Linked DNA regions of Drosophila melanogaster. The protein of the gene in region 4 interacts with the protein of the main gene of each other region in a pairwise test. Each region holds a gene or a part of one and is shown on either strand. Other genes may lie near its edges.

What was found.
Region 1: the proteins of CG30160 (region 4) and Naa20A interact in a two-hybrid assay, tested with the Drosophila melanogaster proteins (one large-scale study listed by BioGRID).
Region 2: the proteins of CG30160 (region 4) and CG10344 interact in a two-hybrid assay, tested with the Drosophila melanogaster proteins (one large-scale study listed by BioGRID).
Region 3: the proteins of CG30160 (region 4) and CG14252 interact in a two-hybrid assay, tested with the Drosophila melanogaster proteins (one large-scale study listed by BioGRID).

The regions. Positions count from the first base shown.
Region 1 is NC_004354.4:19,619,452-19,625,865, forward strand, and holds Naa20A (N(alpha)-acetyltransferase 20 A), read right to left. Parts: upstream 3,624-6,414; 5' UTR 3,515-3,623; coding exon 3,462-3,514; intron 3,394-3,461; coding exon 3,278-3,393; intron 3,216-3,277; coding exon 3,086-3,215; intron 3,021-3,085; coding exon 2,884-3,020; intron 2,814-2,883; coding exon 2,752-2,813; coding exon of another isoform or gene 2,722-2,751; exon of another isoform or gene 2,317-2,721; intron 2,214-2,316; exon of another isoform or gene 2,200-2,213; coding exon 2,155-2,199; 3' UTR 2,000-2,154; downstream 1-1,999. Other genes in the region: CG14221 (uncharacterized protein), read right to left, coding at 24-474, 543-1,182, 1,261-1,332, 1,403-1,506, 1,577-1,667; MKP-4 (MAPK phosphatase 4), read left to right, coding at 3,759-3,903, 3,966-4,097, 4,164-4,263, 4,329-5,011, 5,077-5,180; CG14212 (uncharacterized protein), read left to right, coding at 6,287-6,414.
Region 2 is NT_033778.4:22,425,233-22,430,879, forward strand, and holds CG10344 (uncharacterized protein), read right to left. Parts: upstream 1,746-5,647; 5' UTR 1,682-1,745; coding exon 1,450-1,681; intron 1,395-1,449; coding exon 790-1,394; 3' UTR 750-789; coding exon of another isoform or gene 570-749; 3' UTR 512-569; downstream 1-511. Other genes in the region: rad50, read left to right, coding at 1-225; CG46442 (uncharacterized protein), read left to right, coding at 344-511, 570-749; ppk12 (pickpocket 12), read left to right, coding at 2,247-2,398, 2,458-2,658, 2,723-3,004, 3,056-3,171, 3,225-3,313, 3,366-3,951, 4,069-4,352.
Region 3 is NT_033777.3:26,942,717-26,948,867, reverse strand, and holds CG14252 (uncharacterized protein), read right to left. Parts: upstream 3,335-6,151; 5' UTR 3,289-3,334; coding exon 3,288-3,288; intron 3,103-3,287; coding exon 2,904-3,102; intron 2,850-2,903; coding exon 2,713-2,849; intron 2,652-2,712; coding exon 2,598-2,651; intron 2,538-2,597; coding exon 2,222-2,537; intron 2,168-2,221; coding exon 1,657-2,167; 3' UTR 1,620-1,656; downstream 1-1,619. Other genes in the region: Spag1 axonemal dynein assembly factor, read right to left, coding at 17-144, 201-619, 680-952; CG46339 (uncharacterized protein), read right to left, coding at 4,345-4,600, 4,668-4,811, 4,874-5,041, 5,106-5,296, 5,359-5,482, 5,545-6,151.
Region 4 is NT_033778.4:7,002,202-7,007,942, reverse strand, and holds CG30160 (uncharacterized protein), read right to left. Parts: upstream 2,787-5,741; 5' UTR 2,726-2,786; coding exon 2,474-2,725; intron 2,410-2,473; coding exon 2,245-2,409; intron 2,173-2,244; coding exon 1,921-2,172; 3' UTR 1,807-1,920; downstream 1-1,806. Other genes in the region: Tsp42Ec (tetraspanin 42Ec), read right to left, coding at 26-217, 1,311-1,370; Tsp42Ea (tetraspanin 42Ea), read right to left, coding at 3,967-4,038, 4,301-4,495, 4,562-4,723, 4,787-4,978.

The DNA.
Region 1 (6,414 bases), on a different chromosome or scaffold from region 4:
AGTGGATCGTTGGCAGCACTTACGGAACATACGGCTTGGCATTGTACTTCTCCACGGAGTTTGCTATAAATTGCGCCGTCAGCGGATTGTCACCGTTAAAGAAGCCATAGAGCGGAATGTCCTCGCGACACGTCTCGAGCAGAATAGCGAGATCCTTCTTCTTGTAGGCGTCGAAGATCATCACGATGTGCGGTGGCTCCGGCACGGGATCCGGCGGAAGGAAGGTCGTGGTCTGGGCACGGAAGTACGTGTAGATTAGCGCTGCATGGGTGCGCTGGTCACTGGGCACCCAAATCGGCGGTATCCGAATAGTCTTGGTTCTCTTAGCTGCAACCGGAGCAGTTTTGGCCTCTGGTGCCGCACCTGCCTCCGCCTCTGTCTCCGTCTCTTCCTCAGCCTCCGCTACATTTTCGCTCCTAATCTCGGCCAGATGCACTGCGTCCGGCTGCACCTGACTATTCTCCGTTGATGGCTCTAACCAGAGAGTAAATAGAGTAAAACTCGTGAATAGATCAAGTTAGCAAGGATGACAGGCGTCTCACCTGGATCAGATATCTCCACGGTCACCTCCAGCGGCACAATCATGGGCGGCACGGTGATCTCCTCCTCGTTGAACTCGTCCGGCGGCTTAATGGTCTCCTTGGTCAGCTCGTGGGCATATTGGCGGAGCACGGTCGGTGGCGTGCCGAGCACCTCGTCCACCTTCCAGAAGCACATCAGCAGCTCCTTGTCGTAGAGCTGCTCGATAACCTCCGGTGACAGTGGATTCTCCGCAGCAAAGTTGACGGTGGCGATGTCGCTAGGCAGAATGGTAAATACCTTGCGGTCCTTGCACTGAATCTTGAGCGGATCAGCCGGCTCCGAGAGTTTCTTGAACATGTCGCGATTAACCTGTGGCCCGAAGACCGTGATCCCGATGTCCGGCAGGTTGGCCATGATGCAGTCGGTGACGCTGTGAAGGTACTCCAGCCGCTTCCGACGGCTCTCCGCCAGCTCGATCTCCTCGGCCAGGCGCAGCGCCTTGTTGCGCACCTCCAGCTGCTCCAGCTCGATCGGCTGGAGCTCGGTGATCTCGTAGCTCAGGTGCGTTTCCTTGGCCATCGTCGACTGCAGCATTCGGGTGATCATGGCCACCAGCTTGGGCACATCCGTGCCGAACATGATATTGATGGCCTTGCCGCTCTAATGGTCCATAAACATAAACATAGAGGAAAGACAATACATATTCACCTGGCATTATGTTCCCATGGGATCACTCACCGTGACAAACATCCACGTGGGCTCGCTCTTCTTGTTGAATCGCTTCAGATAGGATATGGAGCCCGCCTTGCACTGGCATATATTGGAAAAGATGGGGATGTTAGTGCGCTACGCCTCGGTGCTTCCGACTGTGTGATCTTACGATGGCCAACTGCAGGTTGTCGCCTCCTAGCTCGAGCTTGATCTTCCGCAGGCTACCCACCATGCCGAGGCAGGGACCGCACCATTCGGAGTATATATCGAGCACTGAAGCACTCAGGGATTAGAGCGAGATTACTGGGTGGACTAATGGCTAACCATCGCATCGAGAACGTACCCAGCAATCCGGATCGCTGCAGGAACTTCTCGAACTCCTCATCCGAGGCGAGGTCGGCCTGAAGCTGCTGGACTCCTCCCTTCTTCGCCATTTTTTGCGCACTGAATGGGCCATCAATCAGATACCGAACTAAACACCCAACCAGCTATTGATCAAACAGTGGTTGCCAGGACTTAAAAGGTCACTCAGTATTTTGGCACAATCAATCAATCAACAATCCCAGTTCCCAAATGGGGTAACAAATGCGCAGGAGCTGCTGAGTCGAGCTAGGAAGCTACCCATATAATACAGGGTATTTATTATAAACCCGAAAACTTTTCTATCCTTCTGCTAGCACTAAAAAAAAGGACATCACCACAAGGACATTATTATAAGGTGTGTTGAAAGTCAGCTTTCCTCCAATCAATCAATCAAATACAGATTGAACTTTATATGCCAGGGGGTTTATTTTCTTTTTATTCTCAAAATGGTTTTCTATGCAGCAGCACATTAGTAAATGGGAATCGGTCGATAAAGCACATGGCGATGGCGATGGCGATGGCTGTGGCTATGCCCACATCCGCCGCGAATCGTTCCACTTAGTGATCGTGTCGCATTTGTCTGCGCAGCTCGCGCATTGTGATCTGCAAAAAAAAAACTGGATATGGTCAGAGGATCGTGTGCGGGCTAGATGGGTGGTCATAGCGTTGGCGTTAGATACTGGTTGTCATTTACGATGATGAAGTAATCAAGTTGCTTACGTTATTTACCTTCAGAACTGTGGAACAATCTTTGTGTTTGTGGTTATTTACGCATCGGCTTACGAAATCTTTAAATAATTTCAAAGTCAATAGAATTATCGAGAATTTGTGCTGAATTTGGTAACGGAGCGGTCATGTAACTTAATTACAGGCTTAGTTTCGGTTGGGAAATAATGCACGCAAATACTGGCGCCGGGGGATTGGTTCGCAAGCGGGATGGGAATCCGGTCATAATCGAATCGCATGTTATCACCGGGCAGATCACGGGATTATGGGTTATTTACATTGCTAAATTAACTAGAATTCAATGGGCTGCGAAGTGATGCGCTCGCGCCCATTTCAAATGGTGGATCGGGATTAGTTAGACATAAATGCGTTTTCGGGCGCTACTGGGTTGATATCGTATCAATTCATATCTATATGTTCCAGTCGTACAGGCTGCGTGTACGGTATGACCGACTTTTTGTTGACGTCCCTGGATAAGGCCTTTCTCATGTCTGCAAAGTGGGTAAAGCATCGATTGTTAGGCGCCTCTTAGAAGTCAATGCAAATTCTGTGCGCTCTCACCGTACGCATCCTCGTCCTGGTCGCCGGAGTAGTACTCAAGTATGGTGCGGTATATGATGTAGCCAAGGTTCGTGTACATGTTTATTGCCACCTGGTTGCTCTTCCTCACAAAAAGATCCACAAAGTATGCTCGCTTTCTGGGGGCGAGAAAAAGTAGTCGTTTAGTCTGTATTGATATCCAACGAATTGGGGCTGGAATTACTTCTCCGAAATGTCCTCCAGGAAACTCATGAGCAGCGCAGCCAGACCAAGGCGCCGGTAGTCGGGCGAGACGGTCAGCGCAGTCACGTGTCCGTGCCAGTTGTCCAGGTGTCCCTCCACCTTGCCCATGACTAGAGAATGTAGAGCACACTTGATAGGGGAACTCGTGCACACAGTGAAATGCAGTACTTACTGTAGCCCATTATTTGTCCGCTGGGCGACTCCGCAAGCTGAAAGTACTCCGGCCACTTGGCCAGGTACTGGGTGTAGAAGGACAGCCCGTAGGTCTCCGTAAGTGGGTCAAAGTTTCTGGCGGAGCACACGGCGGTATTGGTATTAGCCTCGGATATGCGCATGTGGATATCCACTGTACTCACACATTGTTGAACTTAAAGAGGTCGTCGCAGGTGAAGGGTCGCAACGTGGTCATCTTATCACTTAATCTCGGCTAATCCGATCCTTTTTATTGCTCCTATAAAATTGCTATACTCGCCGGCAATAGAGATGCGCCGCGGTCGATGGCAAGTTATCGATAGCCTGGAAGCGAGCTTTCCCACAAATCGGTTACCGCGCAATGCAGCCGCGGTCACACTACTAGCACTTCCATTTCCACGCTAGGTCCTGTCCTCGCTCTTCTTCTTCCTCTGCCTCCAGCTGGTATCTGTTGCCTGGCCATGGAACAGTCTCAGTCTCAACGGCAGGCGTGGCCTTCGTCCTCCGCGGGGGGTGGCAAGGCCCAGGACTCCGGGGTGCTGACGCGCGAGGACTTCGACGGCGGACCGGTCAGCATCGACGAGGTGGACACAGGCCTGTTTCTAGGTAAGCATATAGCTCTAATCCTTGTGATCGATGCATTTCTCAACCCTTCCTTACACCACCAGGCAACCTGACCGCGGCGACGCACATGGAGACGCTGCGCTCCTTCAAGATCACCCACATCCTCACGCTGGATTCGGTCCCGCTGCCGCAGCACATTCTGGAGGCCAGCTTTCTGACCACCAAATATATACAGAGTAAGCACACAGATCGGTAGCTTCGTGAATGTGCAACAACTTCACTGGCGTTAATCCCTGTTTCAGTTGCCGACATGCCGCGCGAAGATATTCTGCAGCATCTGGAGGGCTGCGTTGACTTTATCAGCTCGGCCCTGGCCCAGCAGGGCAATGTCCTTGTGCACTGGTGAGCATCTTACCTAGGCTGACCGGCCCACGATTTGGCCACTGACTCTTTGTGCCTTCCAACAGCTACTTCGGCGTCAGTCGCAGCTCATCCACTGTGATCGCTTACATGATGAAGCGACACAATCTGGACTTCCTGCCCGCCTACGAGCTGGTCAAGGCCAAACGGCGCTTCGTCCAGCCAAACGCTGGCTTTGTCAGCCAACTAAAGCTCTTCCGGCGCATGGGCTGCAAGATTGACCCCAACTGCCAGCGCTACAAGATCCATCGCCTGCGCCTGGCTGGCGAGCAGATGCGCAAGGCCAAGATCCTGCCGCAAAGCTTCCACAGCGTGGTCCGTCCGGATCCAGATATAACGCGCGAGAACCCGGAGCCCATAGTGTTCCGCTGTCGTCGTTGCCGCCGCGTCCTCGCCTCCAAGTCGCATGTACTGGAGCACAAGCCGCGTGACAGGCCGCCGCAGGAGGTGGTACCCAAGGAGAAAGAAGAAGTCGCTGCAGCTAAGCTGCCGGCTCAGTCACATGATCAGGCCGAAAATCATCATGGTGCTCGCATGCTGGAGCAGCTGTCCGAGCGCATCCGCCAGTCATCACTCGGTTCACCCGGCCACGAAAGCACGCCAAACTATTGCCGCAGCATACTGTTTGTGGAGCCCATCGCCTGGATGCACCGCATCATGCTGAACACCCAGGGCCGCCTGTACTGTCCCAAGTGCGAGCAGAAATTGGGAAACTTTAGCTGGATCAACGGTTGGCTATGCTGCTCCACCAGCCGATAATCCCGCCCCCCACTCATTCCTCCTAATTTATTGCAGCCTGCAAGTGTCCGTGCGGGGAGACGATGACGCCTGCATTTTATCTGATACCTTCCAAGGTGGAGCTCTCGAAGGCCGTGCAGAACGTGCAGACCACGGTTTAGGTGCAGCGTGCTGGAAATAGAGCGAGATGGCATCATCAGAGACGGGACAATTGGACTCCCTTGTCGGCTGGCAAAGAACGGCAATCGCCCACCTAAACAAAAAGCAATGGAGGCTTGGATTGATTGATCAGTGCTTATCAGTGCTGGCCAACATTGATGTCCTACATATATACATATATGGGCATTAAGTTATGTTTCTATGGGTCATTGGAGAAGTTGGGCTTCGGTTACGCTGTTGAAACATAAGTTAATTGGTCCCATTGCTGAATAGCTCCTCCACCAAGCTGAGATTTTTGAAACGCAAGCAGTTAGCTTAGTTAGTTCCCTCTTGGGAATCCGATCTCGTATCGGATATAAACTGATTGCCAGGTTTACAATATCAAAACTTCCGCGCGAAGCAAACGTAATTTAATCACAAACTAACTTCGGATTCCATTTGGTCAGTCAGTAAATATTTACTCAATTCTTAAGAATAAGAAATAATCACAGAGTATCTCATCCGATCGCAACATTGATATGTGAATCCCCAAAAGCTGAAAGAGATACGTTGATTGTTTCCAGTAGTGGTATATGGTATATTGTTTCATTTTATATAGTTAGCCAATGAATTCGCCCATGTAGCTAAATTATACACTTACTTATGTACGTGCGATATAGTGCACCCATATTTGTTGGAAGCCATACAAGTATGTATATTGATCTTTGCTGTTCCATATGCATTTGCATAGCTTTTTGCATGTTACCAACACACACACACACACACAAACTATGAATGTATTTTAGATATTTAAACCTTTTTGGAAAATATTTTATGCAACGGAAAACGAAACAACATTTTTCAATGACAATATCTAAAACTTATGCGATATACATACATATAATACACACATTATATTATAATTACAACATTGTCGGCCAAACGGACACGTCGGTCGCATGGTCGATGGAACGAAGATCCCCCCCAGCTTCCATGGGACTTCGTGCACCTTCGGATATTGGCGCTACCTTATCGATATTGATGTGCTTTGTTCACCCATATCTACTGTACTGTTTAAACGAGTGTGTGCATTGATATTAAAGTCAAATTGTTTGTTTTCCACACCAAAATGTTTGCAATTTCGAGAAGCCTCCGGTTGAGCCGTTGCCTTTCGCCCTTCGGACGCGGTCTGAGCGCATCCAGTTCGCCTGGACCGCGCACCCTAGTCGCCATCGACTTCGACAGGACCATCGTTGA
Region 2 (5,647 bases), about 15 Mb from region 4:
GATCGCGCCAATATAAACTCGCTATGTGAAGCCCTGAATTGCATCGTGGAGGAGCGCCAAAGCCAGTCCAACTTTATGCTCATCATCATCACTCACGACGAGAATTTCGTTTCGTCTCTGGGCAAGATAACCTCCTACCATCGGGTCTTCCGCAACGAGGAGTGCAAGTCGGTTATACGGAGAGTGGAGGCGGGTCCATCAAAGAAAGCTTTGATAGATCAATAAAAAATATTATTTTTGTTATCAATCTATGTTTGCTTGTCTAGTCATCAAATCAGTTATAGACGGGGACAATTGGCCGCGCAGGTGTGGTAACAAAGAATGATGGGTTTAGTTTTTAGAAATGGCCAATACGTGTGGTCTGTTGCTGCTGGCAATACTTGCTTATGCAGAAGTTGCATGCCACTCCGTACAATTTGGCATGCTGCACTTTCTAGCTGTTCCCATATATGAGACTGAAATATTCACCACTGAATTTGTGGATTTCGTAGACGTGAAGTACACACAAAAGGTATTTTAAATATATTACTTTAAATAAAGTGGAAGATCTCTTAGGTATTTTTGTACAGGGTAGCATGTGCTTTCATATAAACATGATATTGGTCATCGATGAAAGTGAAATGGAATGGAAAGGCCAGGCGTCCGTTCTGTCCGGCGGTATTGGTTACAACTTCACTATCTTAAGACTAACATTTAACCAGCCAGAGGTTGCCAAAGTCACAGTAGTCATTTACGGGATCCCCAGGTAGGAACTGCACAGCAGATATTTATCCTAGATCCTAATCAGTCTTAGTCTTGTTTGTTCGTAGGGACATTCCAGTGGTATCCGTCTTCCGGCAGATCGCTGCGAATCAGTGGGGACAGCCACGCTAAATGCATGCGGTTTCCAAAAACGCTCCTTAGATTTTGATACACTCCTCTGTCGTACTTTTCTTTGCTCTCCTTAGTGCGATCGGCGGAAACACCGCCCCTTAAAACAATGGGCACATGGTAGGCCAGGAGGAGGACTCCATAAGCCAGAGCTAAAATATTTAAGCTGTAGAAGACCAGGTACATGTTGGTCCAAAAACTGCCCGTTACCAGGTGTAACATGGGGCAGGCGAGTTTTAACACCGTCACCCAGTTGCTGTAGATGTGGCCGTGGATGACCCACATGTATATGGAGTTGTACACCAGTGCGTAAACTGATCCCACGAAGAGATAGAATATAAAGCCCATGAAGAAGCGATGGTTTCTGAGTCCAATGCAGCAGCCGGTGTAGATACAGTGGTGATCCCGCTTCAGAATGCACACTTTGCAGGCCTTGCAATGCCAAGATCTGGGTGGTGCTAGCTTCTGGCACTCGCCGCACTCACGCCAATTCAACTGATCCGATGGTGGTTCCACCTTTTTCACTGGAAATGGGATATGCATTTTATCGGATTTATTATAAGACCTGCTGCGACTTACCATTTACACTTGTGTCAATCATCATGCAGGCAATCATGTTTCCCTTGATGTTAAACACCAGGAACATGGCCATAAGAAAGGTGAAGGTGTGGAAGAAGCCACCCGGTTCATGGAAGGCAGGCAGCACCACCACAATCTCGAACATAAACACCACCGGGAGAAAGACCGCAATGATGAGGAAGCACAAGATGTCCACCATCCGGCTGGGCATTGGGTTGCTCCGGATTCTCATGATCTGTGCTACTAAGGTAAATAAATAGGCACCGATCTCCGATATGTCAGAAAGAGAACTAACTTGATAACCGGTTGCTGTAACATCACGTGCGGTTGAGCTTTATTTTATCAAGCTTTCGAGGCCAAAGCTAATGGGTCGCCGGTAAAAAGCTCGCTTTCTATGTTTTTGCGGCGAAAAGTTTGCGTTCAGTATGATTGAATGTGATTCATTGAACCCGAGTTCAATATAATTTGATAAACTCCAAAGCTAACCGAATTAAAGTTTGATATCAAGCGCGGGGTGGTGTAAAACTGCGGCCATGCACTTATACATGTTATCAAGACGGGCCACACGTCGTATGCTTGATGGCGTGTGCCATGAATACATACATATACATTTAAACGCCAACGGCAAGCCAGCATTGAGAATTTAATTAACTTGAAAGGATTCACTCCTTCGAATGCCGCCGTAATCGGGGTAAAACCTTAATTACATGCCTCTTTAATAAGTGTGCCGACACCTGATTGCTTGCGATATCAAGTATTTATGCAGGTGTCAAGGGTCATTAAGTAAACAGTTCGCTATGGAACCGTCGCCGTCAGCCGGAACGGAAAGGCAGGGATCCTCGTTATTTCTGCTGAAGAGCTTCGTCAGGAGTCTGCGGCAGTTCCTCAACCAGACTAGTCTGCATGGACTCAAGTTTGTGGGCGATTCCGGCCTGAGTAGCTGGGAGAGGTGGGAAAGGAGCACATCCAAGTGCGGATTTTGAGCTACATTTGCAAAACCCTTTTTAGATCGTTTTTCCTTGGCTCCTTTGTCACCGCCCTCATCATCACGGTGCACCTCATATCGAACATCTATGTGAAGTGGGATAGCACGCCGGTTATAATCGGCATCAGCCCACAGGCCACCTCCATTTTGAAGGTTCCTTTTCCGGCAATAACCATATGCAATATGAACCAGGTGCAGAGGAGTCTGGTAGCCAATTACAGAGAGTAAGTTCGGTTTTCCTCTAAGGCAATCGTCCATCCATCATTTTGAAATTAAATTATGTTCCAGGGGCTCCAATGAAAGTGCCCTTCTGAAGCTATTATGTGAATCGGATAGCTGGGAATCCAGTGAGGCTGATGAGGAGTTCTCCGCTTCGAATTTTGTCACGAACAACCTGAAGATATCCGAATTTGTTTCAAATCACTCGCAGTCCTGCGAGAGAATGTTGCTTTTTTGTAGATTCAGTGCCGTGGAGCGAAACTGTTCGCAACTGTTTCAGCAGATCCTGACGGATGAGGGCCTGTGTTGCGTCTTCAATTTTCAACCACCGGAATATCTCTACAAGCCATTGTAACTAGATGGGTTCATTAAATTAAAATAATTGATTTATTGTTTTGACAGTGCAAATAACAACCGGAACTTGACGAACTCTGATGGGTTTGAAAGTGTTATGTGGGATCCGGAGTCAGGATATCCGGAACAATTGCCCCCCAAGTTCTATCCAGCCACCGCTAGTGGTAAAATATCAGAGAATCGTTAATGAATAGAGTATTTCAAATATGTACTATAGGCACTGGTATCACCTTGGGATTTACTGCCGTACTTGATGCTGAGATGGGCGAATACTATTGCTCTTCGACCAATGGACCTGGTTTTAAAGTAAGCCTTTAATATACATACTGCCTTTACCCATCATACCCGCCATTTCCAGGTTTACTTTCACAATCCCATCGAAGTTCCCAAGGTGAAGGAGGCGGGCCTCATCTCAGCCATTGGCTACGAAACCAACTATCGAATTGAGATGGTTCGTGCCGAGGCGGTTCCGGCCATTCGATCTATATCCCGCGATGGCCGGCAGTGCCTGTTCAAGAACGAGAAGGAGCTGATCTTTTATCGTATCTATACGCGACTCAACTGCGAGAACGAGTGCCTGGCCGCATTCCTCTACGACACCTGCTCCTGCATTCCGTTCGACCATCCGCTCATCTACAGCAACGCCAGCATCTGCTCCATGGGGGACACGTCCTGTGTGCGACGGGCACAGAGGGCGTCCAATCGACCTGGTTGGGCCAAGTGCCGCCAGCAGTGCCTGCCCAGTTGCTTCGATCTCAACTACTTGGCCAGTGGCTTCTCCTTCCCGCTGGCCTCCAACAACTTCCAGCTGGCCAACGCGCTGGTGGAGAGCTTCAACAAGTCCTATCTCAGCAAGAATATTGCCGTGATAAACGTTTATTTCCGGGAGTCGGTCTACTATGGAAACACCAAGAATGCATACGTGGGATTGACAGAGTTCTTGTGTGAGTAAATACTATTTTCAAGTTACAGGAACATAGGGATCTGTTAAATTAGTCATTAGCTCAATGGGCTCAATTTATTCAATCCATTAGATTTAGTGACTAGTTCTATCATTTCAGCAAACGTCGGTGGTGTAATGGGTCTGTTCATGGGCTTTAGTGTCATCTCCCTGGCCGAGATCCTATACTTCTTGATCTTAAAACCACTCGCTGAGCTTTTCGTTTGGAAGAGGTCATCTCATGTGGACTCAGAGAAGAGCCTCAAACACAATGCCTTCGGTATTGAAAAAGGACAATCTTCAGACAACCCCAGTTTCTGGCACTCAAAAGAGCTGTATCCCAAAGGTGTTTCAATAAGTGCCTACGAAAATGCTAAAAGTACGAAAGGATTAAATTACCAATAAATTACAACACACGAGAAATTATGTGTATGTAATCCGGAGTAGGAAAACAAATGTAATCTGTCAATGCCAGTAATGAAATAAAAGAGAAAAACATTATGACTGGAAGCTAGTTTATGGTTTTCAATTTCATTTTATCAGCAACAAAGGCCGGAATAATTGATTTAAATCGGAACTAAAAGCGATTTATATTTAAGTACTGCATTTGGAACAAAACATTCTCAATCATTTGTTAGCAGATTAATTTAAAGTGAGAAATAAACAATTAATATCCTGCAGGATGTTCAATAATTACCTTTTATTGAACTAAACATAACTTTCTTGAAAGTAAGTTACAGCGCGGTGTTAAAGACTCGATTCAATTCCAAACTGAACTTTTTGACTCGGTTAAACAGTCTTAAAGTGGAAAGTTTGATATGCACATGAGCATGCGAACTCCTTCACTGCCCCATCAACTTTTTCCCAAAGGAACTCCCGCAGCTGGAGCAGATGTGCCCGAGTGAAGGTCGGTAATGGAATACCCTAGCGCCTAATGCAATTAACCAAGTTTCCCGGTTATGGGGACAGCCCTTGCTTTAGTTTTTGCGTTCGTTTGTGTTAATGCCATATATTTTATGCCAATAAGAGCATTTTGGGCGAAATTACTTTTGGCCAAGGCAGCCAGTCAGTCCTAGCCTAAATGCGGGTGCGTAAGTTCTTATATGCCAGCAGTACATTGTACGTATTCCGGCAGTAAAACAAGAATAGCTTCGAACCACCCCAATCCGCCCGGCCTTCCGCATCCACATCCTCTAGAGCACTTGAAGATGGCACATTTCTGCGTCGTCTTGCACTTGGTACATCGTGCTCCGGTTTCTGAGCGTTAATTGCTGACCTCAACCTGCACATAAAGCGACTAATTTCGCACGGCCCCGGTACACAGCTCGTCCTGCATAACTGTATGAATTCTGCGGCACAGTTTTCTCTGCAGCATCCTCTGCCATCCATCATGGTCCTCCATCTGAGTGGGATGGAGGTCTTAAACAGCCGTAGGAGGAGGCCGAGTGGGAGTGGGAGGAATGGTGCCTAAGCAGCAATGGCGGCAGGAGCAAAAATGGAATGAAATGCATTCGCACAGTTGAAGACAATTTGCGAAATTGCATCGCTCTTGATGTTTTCACGTGCATTCCATCTGGTGTTTTTACGGCAAGTCAACAATGTGCTGTTGGCCAACAGTGTGCGCCATGGCCATAAGTCGTTCGATTCAGCGGATATCTCACTGGAGAATTTAATAGATTCCCCTCTTAGTCTGCTTATTC
Region 3 (6,151 bases), on a different chromosome or scaffold from region 4:
TAATATGATTACTTACGAGCGACAGCGCGATTATTGTAAGCGTGTACTGCATTCTCCGGATCGTATATTATTGAACAGTTGTACTCCTCAATGGCATTTTCATATTCCTTTGCCTTGAAGCTCTCATTGCCACGCAGTCGATGTCTTTAACAACAACAAAAATATATAAAACATATAATAAAGCATTAAGATATATCTACCTTTCAGCAAATTGCTCCTTCTCCAGCTGGCTTAGGTTCTTTAGCTGTGCTTGGAGGCGTTCATATAGAGAATCTCTTTCGCTCTGTAGCTTATCCGTGGTAACCGATTTACTGTGATTGGAAATGATTTTCTCTCTTTGCTCCTGGTCGCGTTCCTCGTTCAAATCCATGCGCAGTATCTCCTCATCGGGATCGTACTTATCCCATTTTCTGTAATCGGTGGATTTGATTCGAGCCTCCTTATTCTTGGTATTGGACGGAGATGTAGCCTTTGGCGCTGGCTTGGGTTTTTCAGTTTTACTTTCCTTCTCCAAATCGATTTTCGAAAGTTTACGCACAGATGGAAGATTCAAATTCTGCTTAACTTTCTTCAGCTCATTGAGAGCATTGTCCTTTGTTTTTATGGCGTCAGTCCAATCCTAAGGTATAAATACAGGTTAATCCATAAATATTTATTTGAAATGAAGTAGACAACCTACCAGAATGGGCTTTAGTTCGGTTTTGTCCAGGTCAGTGCTTTGCTTTATCTGTTCCTCATAGCGAAATAGCTTGCTATCCGGTTTCAGTGCCTTCAGTTTTTCCTCCGCACAGCGTTGCAAGTCCGGATAATGTCCTTCCTCGCCGGAGCGCAGGATTTGGACGATTTTCTCCATTTCGCGAGCATTTGTGCACTTTTCCACGTGGGCGAAGTCCAAATAGTGAATTGGTATGTTGTATCTTTCCAAAAGAGATTTCTTTTTTTCCTTTTCCATTTTTCGGCTTTACAATATCAAATAAATAAAGGAGCAGCTCGATGTTTTAATTCAATATTGTGTATATCGATCAAACAAACTTTTACCGGCTTGCTTGGCAACAAACATCTGTGCTCATTCGATACCCTTAAAATGCCAATGTAAGTTTAAGGTTTAGCTTGTTTTAAAAATGTTCTAAATACTTAACTGAACGTATTGAACCAAATTAAAACACTCTATTTTGAATCAACTATCGTTTCCTTATCTTCAACCCCCTTCTTGACACACCAAAGAACCAAAGATAAGTGTGCCCGCAGCACAAAAGTGTCATTTAGCAGCGTGGCTCGTATCAAGGTTCTATGGTGTAATGGTTAGCACTCTGGACTTTGAATCCAGCGATCCGAGTTCAAATCTCGGTAGAACCTGCTCGAATTAATTTTTATTTTTTTTTTTCATATAAAGATTTGATGCTTAGAAACTTTTCTTTAAAAATAAATATCACGGATAAATGTTTATTTAAAATTTTAGTGTCCAAAATAGGATAATTGTTTCGTGTTATCTGGCGGCAGTAAATGTTTTGTTTTGCGCCAGGCTGCCAACGCGGTTCTATGGTGTAATGGTTAGCACTCTGGACTTTGAATCCAGCGATCCGAGTTCAAATCTCGGTAGAACCTTTGATTTTTTTTTTAATTTCAAGTACGAAAAAAGATACGTTTAATTGGTCACTATGCTTTTTTATTTACTTCATTCTGTTTCTTCTGCAAGACACATATGATATTGTATATTTGGCGTTTTGCTTCGATTAGCAAATCATCATTCAAGACGGCTAGCTCTTTTGTTACAAATTGACTAAATTCTTCAGCAGCCTTATGCTTTTCAATGGAGGGAGATTCGAACGGCTTTGTCGATTCATCTTGGTCCAACACTTCAATAGACACCTTGCAGTGGCTAGGTTCAGTATCAGACCAAAAACAGTCTTCACTGCACGCGGGAGAGCTCGGCTGAGTTTTATTGTCAAACTGATTGACAACGGAATCGCTAGAGCTCGGTGGATGGCTGATAGGATCGGGATCCGGTTTCGGCTCCAATTCTTTGAACCAGGACGCATCGTCTTCGTAGCTGCTACTGTGCTCGGAAAATACATCCAGCTTGGTGAAATCAATAGGAGTCTGGATCTTTAAAATCTTCGAATAATGAATCCACTCGGACTTATCTCCCACCGAATCTCGCTGTGCTCTGCAATTATTGGTAATGTATTATAACAGCATAATAAGCTTATAAAGTTCTTACCTAAACGTGCGCATAAGTGATTCAATTTTGGATTTGATATCGCCCGGTAATATGCCAACACCACGCAGCTGCAGTTCATTATGCATATCCTTGTAGACATCCATTTTTTTCCTATCACTCTGTATGTGACTGGCGAACTTTTCCCACACATCAACGAATATGCATTCCTCCGCCGGCTGCCAAACTCTTCGCGCCTTTACTCTGACATTGCTGGTTTTGCCGAATCTTTTCCTAACTCTTTTGGCGTTGGGCATTTCCTCATCGTCAAAATAGTTCACAGCACTTTCATCCACGAAGACGGTTTTGAATGGTGTCTCTATAAAGAAATGAAAACCGCTTAGAATGTATACAATTTAAACTTTTATGAATTTCGAACCATATTTGATACGTTGTGCGGGATTGTTCATATAAACAGAAGAGCGCGTTTTATCTGAAATTTCGAAGTCTTTGATTAGATACATTTTCCTTGTTGGAATTCAATGGACTCTTACGAGGCGTCTTTGATGGCTGCGTATAGTCCTTCCATTCCGAATCCTTCCCCTCGTTGGCAGATGCTCTCACCACCAAAGCCATCGCATCGAAGTGCCTCCAGGTGATAGCTTGGTCTTCCTGGTCGGAGTGTAACAAACTGAAATCCCAGAGATTATCAAACCGATTCTTCATCTGAAAGTTGTGTACTGACTTGAAATACTTCCGCTTCAGGGATTCCATTTTCGACTTTATGCCTTGAACATTGATCTCTACGCCAACATCTCGAAAATAGGGCTCCAGTTCCGCATAGGTTTCTGTCAGTTTCTTGCCAGGCTCAAACAGATGCAAGTTGTGGATCCAGATGTCGATGAATCTGTCCTCTTCGGAAGCGTCCCATTTCCTTCTGCTCACTAGATGAAATTGCATAAAGTTTGAGTTTGAACTAGGGATTTCAAAACAAAGCCTAGTATCTCGGGTGTCAGGAAAACACCAAAGTATTCGACTGATTGATACCACAAAAGTCAAAGATGAGGTCTGCTATTTATTAGGTAACCTAATTTGTCTTATTTTGTTGCTAATTTCGTTATATACTTACTTTTTCAAATATACAAGCTGTGTTAATATTTGTTTACAAAAATTTAGTTGATAGTAAGACCGTTTTATGAAACCCAGAAAATTCTTGAAAACCAATGTTTAGGGTTGCCATCAAGTGCAATTTATTCATATATTTATAAAGTGTGACCATTCTGTTGAAAATACTGAATTTCAGGGCCGCATAAGCAGTTGATTTAATTTCTTCTTAACCGCCAAATTCAAAACTCCCAAAATAAATCAAAGTTTATAAGCAGTAATTAAAGAAGAGTTTTGAATAAAATTACGTAAATACATAGTTTATTTAAGTGTTTAGTGTAAGCTTTAAAACTTATTTACATGGTTGTGCAGCAGCAATACAAGTATTTTTGTGTTGGGCTTTACAAAATACATAATAGTTACACGCGTACATGAATAAATATATTACTTGTGTGTTGTGTGTTGTGTACTACTCTTGCTTTAGCAAACAATTTAAACCATGTACTAAGGACACTCAGTTTCATTATCTTCCCATGCTCAGTTTCCTTCCAGGACCATTAAGTCCCTTGATTGGATCGACTACAAAATAGATTTTTGGTTCACTTAGTGCTAGATTGATTCACTTAGGATCTAAAGGTGTGCGAACAACACAAAGTACTTGACAATCATAAGTATAGATATAGATATAGATAATACAGGTTTTAAACTTTAGATATTTCGTGGCAGATATTGTGTTGTGGACTTAAACTGTTGCCTGAAGTGATGAATGGGAGTTATTCGAACTATGCATTTTCCGATTGCTTTCTATTTTTTAGTAGGAACGTTGCAGAGCAATGCCGCAAAGCAAAAGAAGCGAGACTTACAAATAAATAAATATACAATTGCAAAAAGTAAATCGTTTACCTAAATTATGCTGGCTAACTTACACGTTTATATCACTTTTCGCAAATAATTCGTTTGATTAAATTAATTTGAGGCCTTTGCACGAATACAAATAATGGTAATAGTTACAATAACTAAATCGCATTTTTTGGTTGAAATCAATTTGAGTTCTCCCCCATTTCCAACTTCCATGTGTTCTCCTAAAAGATATTGATCTGGAACTCGCTGACGATCCCCTCAAGGAAGTTCTTCAGGCTGTGGTACGAGTGGCTGCGCCAATAGATGTTGTTGTTCACCTGCTCCAGCGCCAACTCGATGGCCGATTCCACGGCATGGAGTCCCAGTTTGCGGCAGGTAGCGGCCAAGTCCAGAAGCTGGTGCTTATGGTAGTCCTTGTTCATGTAGATGGTCAGCGATTTGATCATCTCGGACAGCGTGGAGAAGCCATCGCCATAGCTATGGTGCAATTGAACATAACTAAATTAATATATACATTCAACCTATCACACAAAGTATCACTTACTATTCGACAATCTCCTTTATGTTGCCCTGCAGAAAATCAAAGGCTATCTCATGACCAATGGCATTGGAGGCCACAGCACGGAAGGCCAAGGCGCCATCCTGTTTTAGTATGCCCGATGTTGGATTGATGGTCATGTTGAGGTACCTACAAAGTTGTTGCACATCAGTCTTTGGTCTTTGATGGATCAAACTGTTGTAGTTACTCACTTGGACAGCAGCCAGGGTTTGGTGGTGCAGCCCAGTGAGGTCAGTATCTCCTCCTTCTCGGAAGCACTCGTGGTTGTCTTGTACTGTTTGTAGGCGAAATACCATTCCGGTGACGAGCCCTCCGCCAAGGAGGTGCAGTAGATCACAGACTTGAGGTTTGGCTTAATGCTGTTGATTTATGATTGCATCGTTTTTAATAAGTTTTTGTATTGTATTTCAGTTACAAGCTTACGGATTGTTTTTGGGATCACGCATCCACTCGCGGAACTTCATCTGCGCCTTTTGGGTGCAGCGATCGTAGTTGAACTTGCAGGCAAAGTAGGCCACCAAGGCGCGGTGCTTCAGTTGCAAGTGGGACTCATTGTCCGGCTCATGCAGGCCATAATGATCAAAGGCGGGACGTACGATGAATTTCATGAAGGCCTGGTTAAACAAAATATATTATAAAACACTCTAAAATTTACTAGTTTTACTGGATTCCCTACCCTGAAAGTCTCATAGGCAGGCTCCCTCTTCAGGTTGTAGATCAGATAGTTGAGACCAGGTTTGGCGGCAATCCACAGCAGCTCATCATCCACAGCATCGAACAGCTCCATGAGGAAGGTCAATCTAAAGGCAAACGTATTTTTATGTTAATAATTTCATTTACTTGTCTTACTTCTCAAACTTACGGTATGTCGTAGGTAAGGTATTCCGCTTGCGACAGATGCAGTGCATCATCCAGCAACTGGGCCCTTGTGATCCTGGGCAATGTGCTAAAGTTCTTCTTGAGCGCCAGCCAAGAGGTCATATCGTAGTTGACACGATAGTAACCCTGCCGGTTGAGATTCAGATAGATCACGTTATCGCTGTTGCTGCTATGCGCGAAGACATTGCCCACGATGAGCTCCTCTTCGTCCTCGCTTCTCATCCAGTGGGTGGGTATGTTGTCGCCCTTGCGCAACTCATCCGTCTCGAAGGTGATGGGTATAAACCAGGTGCTCTGATCCGCAGTGTTCTTGGAGGGCAGCAGATAGCGTTCCTGGCGCAGCACGAGATCAGCACCACGGCGCTCCACATTGACTACCGGATAACCGGGCTGGGTGATCCACGAGTCCATGATCTGCTTGACACTCAGATCCTTGGGCAGAGTACCCTGTTCGTGACCATGGCGCGTGAGCATGGCCCACAGATCATCTCTGTCCATGTTTCCATAGGCGAACTTCTTTAGAAGATCACGAGTGGCCGACCGGAAGGCCACATCACCCACGATCGAATTGAGCATGCGCAGCAGAATGG
Region 4 (5,741 bases):
GGATATGCTCTTCACGCAAACTTACCGCGCCGGTCATGCAGACACTCTGCCGAAAAATGCCGTAGCACCCGAAGAAGGACACCACGAAGATGAGGCCTCCCAGGACGGTGACGCAGATGGGGATGGTGTTCGGGTCCGTCCCACTCCCCGCGACATCGAAGCGGCTCAGATCGGACAGCATGATCGAGCCCAACACGATCAGTAGGATGCCAACGATCTGGAAGTATTCGGAGTATTACTAGAAGGCATCTCTGGTTGCCTAACAGTTTTATGGTCATAAGCATACCACATTATAATGAATGTTTTATGGACTTCTAATTATCCGGGAATATCTATGTACTGAAAACTTGTCCGCAAACTGGACTAAGATATGAGCTTTTAAAATAGCCTTCAGGATGTCGGTGACCAAGATTTACTTAAATTTCTTCATTTGATTCTTTAAGTTGACAAAGTGATTAACAAAGTGAATAATCAAGTCTTATACTTGCATACAAATTAATGAAATTCACAATCAGACGGATATGGCTAGTTTAAAAACGTAGCTGATAAAAAAAACAAACGTTAATCACCTTTATCTTGTTTTTGGCATAATTCTTAAGGTGAAAAATGTATCTTTTAGCTGCGTTAATACTGCGAGTAACTACACATTTATTTGGATAAATAATAAATCATTTGTAAATAATAGTTTGTTGTATTTCCTTAGTTTATTCTCTAAATGATCTTTTATTCACTCCAACTTAGCCTTGCTAAAATGTGAACTTGTGTGCATGTGTGCCCCCTTTGAAGCTCATTTTGGGCTCATTACTTATATTACAAAACACTGATAATGTCAATCAACTGATAAAATTCTGTATGTCCGTCCACACTTGCATTACAGATAGATATTATTATCTATGCCAGCACATTTATATGAATAATAGTGTTAAACCTTGTGACTCAAAGACAATCGAAAGGAAGCGACCGATGCGTAATTTATGGATTTTCAAATTTCATTTCACTTGTTTTAAATAATACATGTTCGATATTTGTTGCACAAATATTTATTGCATATGACTTGATTAATGAATGACAGAAGTCAGCTAGAAGGTCTTATATGCAAATAAATAAACATCTACAGTTTGATAAATAAATTAACATAATTAATGGACATTTTTTGGAAGTTCATTATAACACAAGTAATTGGAGAGTATGAAGTTATCCATAATTGGAACCTATTTGGGATCTGCACCCAGTAGTGTTTGGTCTATTGTTACACGTCTCATTACATTATTAATTCCTTTTACTTAGATACTCAACCGACAAGCACTTACCAAAAACACGATATTGACAATATATAAAATAAAGTTGACTATTCCCGATAGACAACCCATTTTGAAAGTATATAGTTTGCTCCTGTATTTAGTAGAATTAAATAAACACTATTGTTTTATCCAAAGGAGTTGTCGGTGTCTCTGATTTTATCGCGCACTCGCGTCGTTTACTGTCGTTCGATTGGACTGCTCCTCCAGATGGGCTACTGTTTTTAAATTGGCCAACAGACACGGGCGCTATCGGAGGAAAGATACGCAAGTGCCTGTTATCATAATCATGGCCGAAACGAAAAATAGATAATGGGCACTGGGCGGCGGGCGGAGATCGATAGCCATTGCCATATGGAGGTGATTCACCACTACTGAGGGCATTCGATCTCGGAAACGCGGCACTCGGCTAACAGGCCGATAAGGACATACTTTTTGGAAAAACATCAACCTGTCTTGATTAGATAGACGGCAGCCAGAGGTAGACAGCGAATAAGCAATAATATTTCATTGGGCTTAACCTATTCTGGTTTATTTACGGTGAGTGAGTGAGTGAGGAATTCGTGTGTTGGATTTATGCTATGAACTGGGCTACGTCTAAGGATTGTATCTGACTTCGGCTCTAGCGCTTCCTCATCGCGCTGGCCAGGCAGCACGACATGATGAAGATGCCCAGCTCGAAGAGGGCGATGATCAGACTGCTCCATCGAATCAGGTCCGTATTGGAGGCCCAGAAATCGACGAACTCCTGCCGGCAGCCAGGTCGCTGGCTGTAGATCTCCGCTTCGCACACCTTGGTGCGATCCTTGTAGCCGCAGCAGGAGCTGGGCACGGTTTCATACTGTTGGTATCCCGTGTTGCCACAGCAAGAGAACTGCAATGGAATAGATACGTAAATATCCGGAAAAAACTAATGACATCTGATGGTGAATTTCGATAAACTTACGGCCAACTGGAGGGCATCCATGGGGTATCCCTGGGCGGCATTGTTCTCATCCCACGCCTTGTCCACTGCCTTGCCCATGCTGGACAGGAACTTGTCGTTGGCCGCGAAGATCCAGATGGAGAGGGCCAGTTGCAGGCCGAACAGAATCAGCATGCAGATGGCGTACTGAAAGGAATGCCAAGTCATTTAGAATCCAATTTCGGTCAGTGGGTGATTTCCGAGTGCTTACGATGGTGGTGCAGCAGGCGTTCTCGCGAATGGTGCCGCAGCATCCGAAGAAGGCCACTACGAAGGTGACACTTCCGATGACGATAATGCAGATCGGGATGGTCTGGGTGTTAACGCCTCCGTCGAAGGCCGTAAAGTTGCCCATCGTGGAGAGCATGATGGAGCCCACCACAATGAGCAGGATGCCACCGGCCACGAACACCAGGTTGAGCAAGTACAGCAGGTACTTGAACATCGCGGATAGACAGTTCATGGTGCTGGGTTCTGTTCGGGTTTCTCGTTGGCTAGCTGGATAATCCGTTCGTTCGATGTGACGATGTTCGTCTAACTGAATGGGCCCTCGGACAGAACGCGGCTATTAAAGCTTACTCGGAGTCCTCATCTTATCGGCTGCGCTCTTATCTCGGCCATAAAATTCCGTATGTACTTGTGCTGGAAGCTCCGATGCCCATGTACTTGTACTTGGTGAATCGCTTTGCACCCACGAGATACCAGATCATTGTGGTGGTCCGAACCTGGGAAATTACATCCTTGGCGCAATGATTCATTCAACGAATGGTAGGTGCAAACTGCTGGTGGCGGAATTTTATCTAGCCCTCGTGCGATTCCATCTTGGGGGCGTTAGATCGTTCATAAGATGAATCATTCACACCCTCCACACCTTGCCTTATCACCAGTCAAGAGTACGCGGTGCACGCTGACTCACATATTACGTTGCTTGGAGTCCGTTTCCCCGTGAGTCCCCGATCTTATCGCCTAGATTTATGTACTATCAATCGAGCAATAAACCTTTTAGCGAGTGCACTCCCAGCCTAACTTCAACAAGATTTTGGCAACTATTGGGGTTTCCACGGCGGAATAATTTCCCATTGACATTCACAAAACGGCTATGTGCCCTTCATAGATAAAATAGCTCAATGGAGATAAGATTTCGTCTGAGCCCTAAAAAGCTAACTAACTAAATATAGTCTTCTGATAGGTTAGTTCTACGGAAATATGTCAATAGAGCCAATGATTGATAATGATCTGTAATCAAAGTGTACTTGTTGGTTTCGGCCAACTCTATTTATACTTATTACTTTGCAGATTAAAACGTTATCGCGAATGGCCGAAATCCTCCCGTGGCAATTTAGAAAAATAGGTGCTTTAGGGATTAAGTCGAATTGCAAACAATGTAAGCTTTCCCATTAAGACAAAGACTGAACTCTTTTCGTAAATTGTAAATAAATTTCTCCGTTTATTGCAATCTCCAGGAGTATAAGTTATTTTGTACAGTTAAACATATTAGCACATTCAGTGTAACTTTGAACAAACGATCTTACAAAAGTGATCGTTACGCATTCGTCATTGGATTTGCTGCATTTGCTGCTTACGCTTGAGATTATGCAAATTTGAATGGCCATCTGTATCAGGTAAATATTCGTAAAATTGGGCAACATAATTCGTACTTTCGGTTTCAATTAAAATTAGTGCAAGGCCTTAGTCCTTTGTCGATTAATATTCCGCACGGCGTCTATAGTTCCGAATGCTGTTCGCCAAGCAACAGGCGAAAACGAATCCCACAAACTGAAAGCAAACAGAGTATGGTATATTGGAAGATATACATGTAGGTGTAAATCTCATAACGCTTATGGTAAAATAACAAACTAAACTGCATTGCTACGAATTATGATTTACATTACTTAGTACTTTTTGGTTATCCCCAAGAAATCACAATGGAAGGTAGGTAACATGAACCCATCCATCATATTTTCGAAATTCACATGGGGAAGCACCTAGATTCGATGATCGATTTCGTTCGATTGCGTTACTCTGGACAATAACTTACTTCGATGGCGGCGATGACCAGACCGGCATACTTGATGATGTCGCTGTTCCTGTCCCAGAACTCAACGAAGGTGACCTTGCATCCCCGCCGGTAGACGGTCTCCCAGCGGCAGTTGTTGGTGTCGCTGCAGCAGGAGGGAGGGAACTTGCCCTGGTAGGCGTAGTCGGTGTAGCCACTGCGTCCGCAGCATTTCATCTGCGGGAGCGGCAGAAAGTCAGTTGAAGGCGGGTCACATGTCCTTGGAAGTCCCTAAATACTTACGCTGATCTGAATCGCGTCCATGTAGTCGGAACGACTGGTGCGATGGTTCCAGGCCTTCTCGACCACGTCGCCCATGATCTCCAGGTACTTGTCCTTCTGCACCCACATGTAGATCACCAAAGCCAGTTGGCCAATCATCAGGACGAACAGCAAGATCGAGTACTGCCACAAAGAATACATTTTGAATTGCAAGATGAATGGCACGATGCAGGATCAGTACTCTACCGTCATGGACATGCAGTAGGATTCCCGAATGGCTCCGCAGCAGCCGAACCAGGAAATCAGCAGGATGATGGTGCCCAGGATGATCATCGTTACGGGCACCTGCTGGGTTCGCAGGGCTTCCGCGAAGTCATCCATGTTACGGACTTTGCTGAACAGCAGAGCTCCGAATACGATCAGCAATATGCCGCATATCTGAGGAAGGGAAATGTTGAGTTTATCAATCCTGAGCCAACCAGGGTTGTCTAATCTAACTAAACTTGAATTCTCAAGCCCTCAGATTTTGACAGAAATTGGTCAAAAACAATCACTTCATATCCGTTTTATATTGGACTTACTAATCATGTAATAAATTAATACAGTTCTAAGTTATTTATGATTTAATTTGATCAAATGATTTGACAAGATTTGCGATACCAAATCGCCTGAAGAATATTCATCCATATAAATGCTGGCTGGGATATCATTAGCTTTTTTGTTTCATTAAAAAGCTTGTAGGCGTTAAAAGCTCATGCCTGTTGTTCGACAAATAATATGCACTGCGAGAAACTGGAACTACTTCCAGGGACATGCATTTCAATATTTGCGATATGGCGAAATCACCTGCTTTATTATTAAAACTACTTTCTATTATTGCCCAGTTCTTCGGCGATTTTCGTTTATAGAGTTTCAGATTGGCTATTTGCATGGCTATCACAAGCTTATCTCTTATCAATCCGATTCGCTTCGTTAATTAAGATTATGCATAAAAGCGCCTGGCCATCGACGATAACTATTAAAAACATATTTACTTTGGCTTTGATTGTATCAGTTGACGTAGTCATTAGATTAGATCCACCCCCAGCCAAACTATAGTTCATAAATTCGTAGGATTGCGCCAAACTGCAGCATGACTCAGCCGCCGAGCTCAGCGGTTCGTGGGATCAGAATAGTTAGCATCGCATCCGATCAGAAGAGA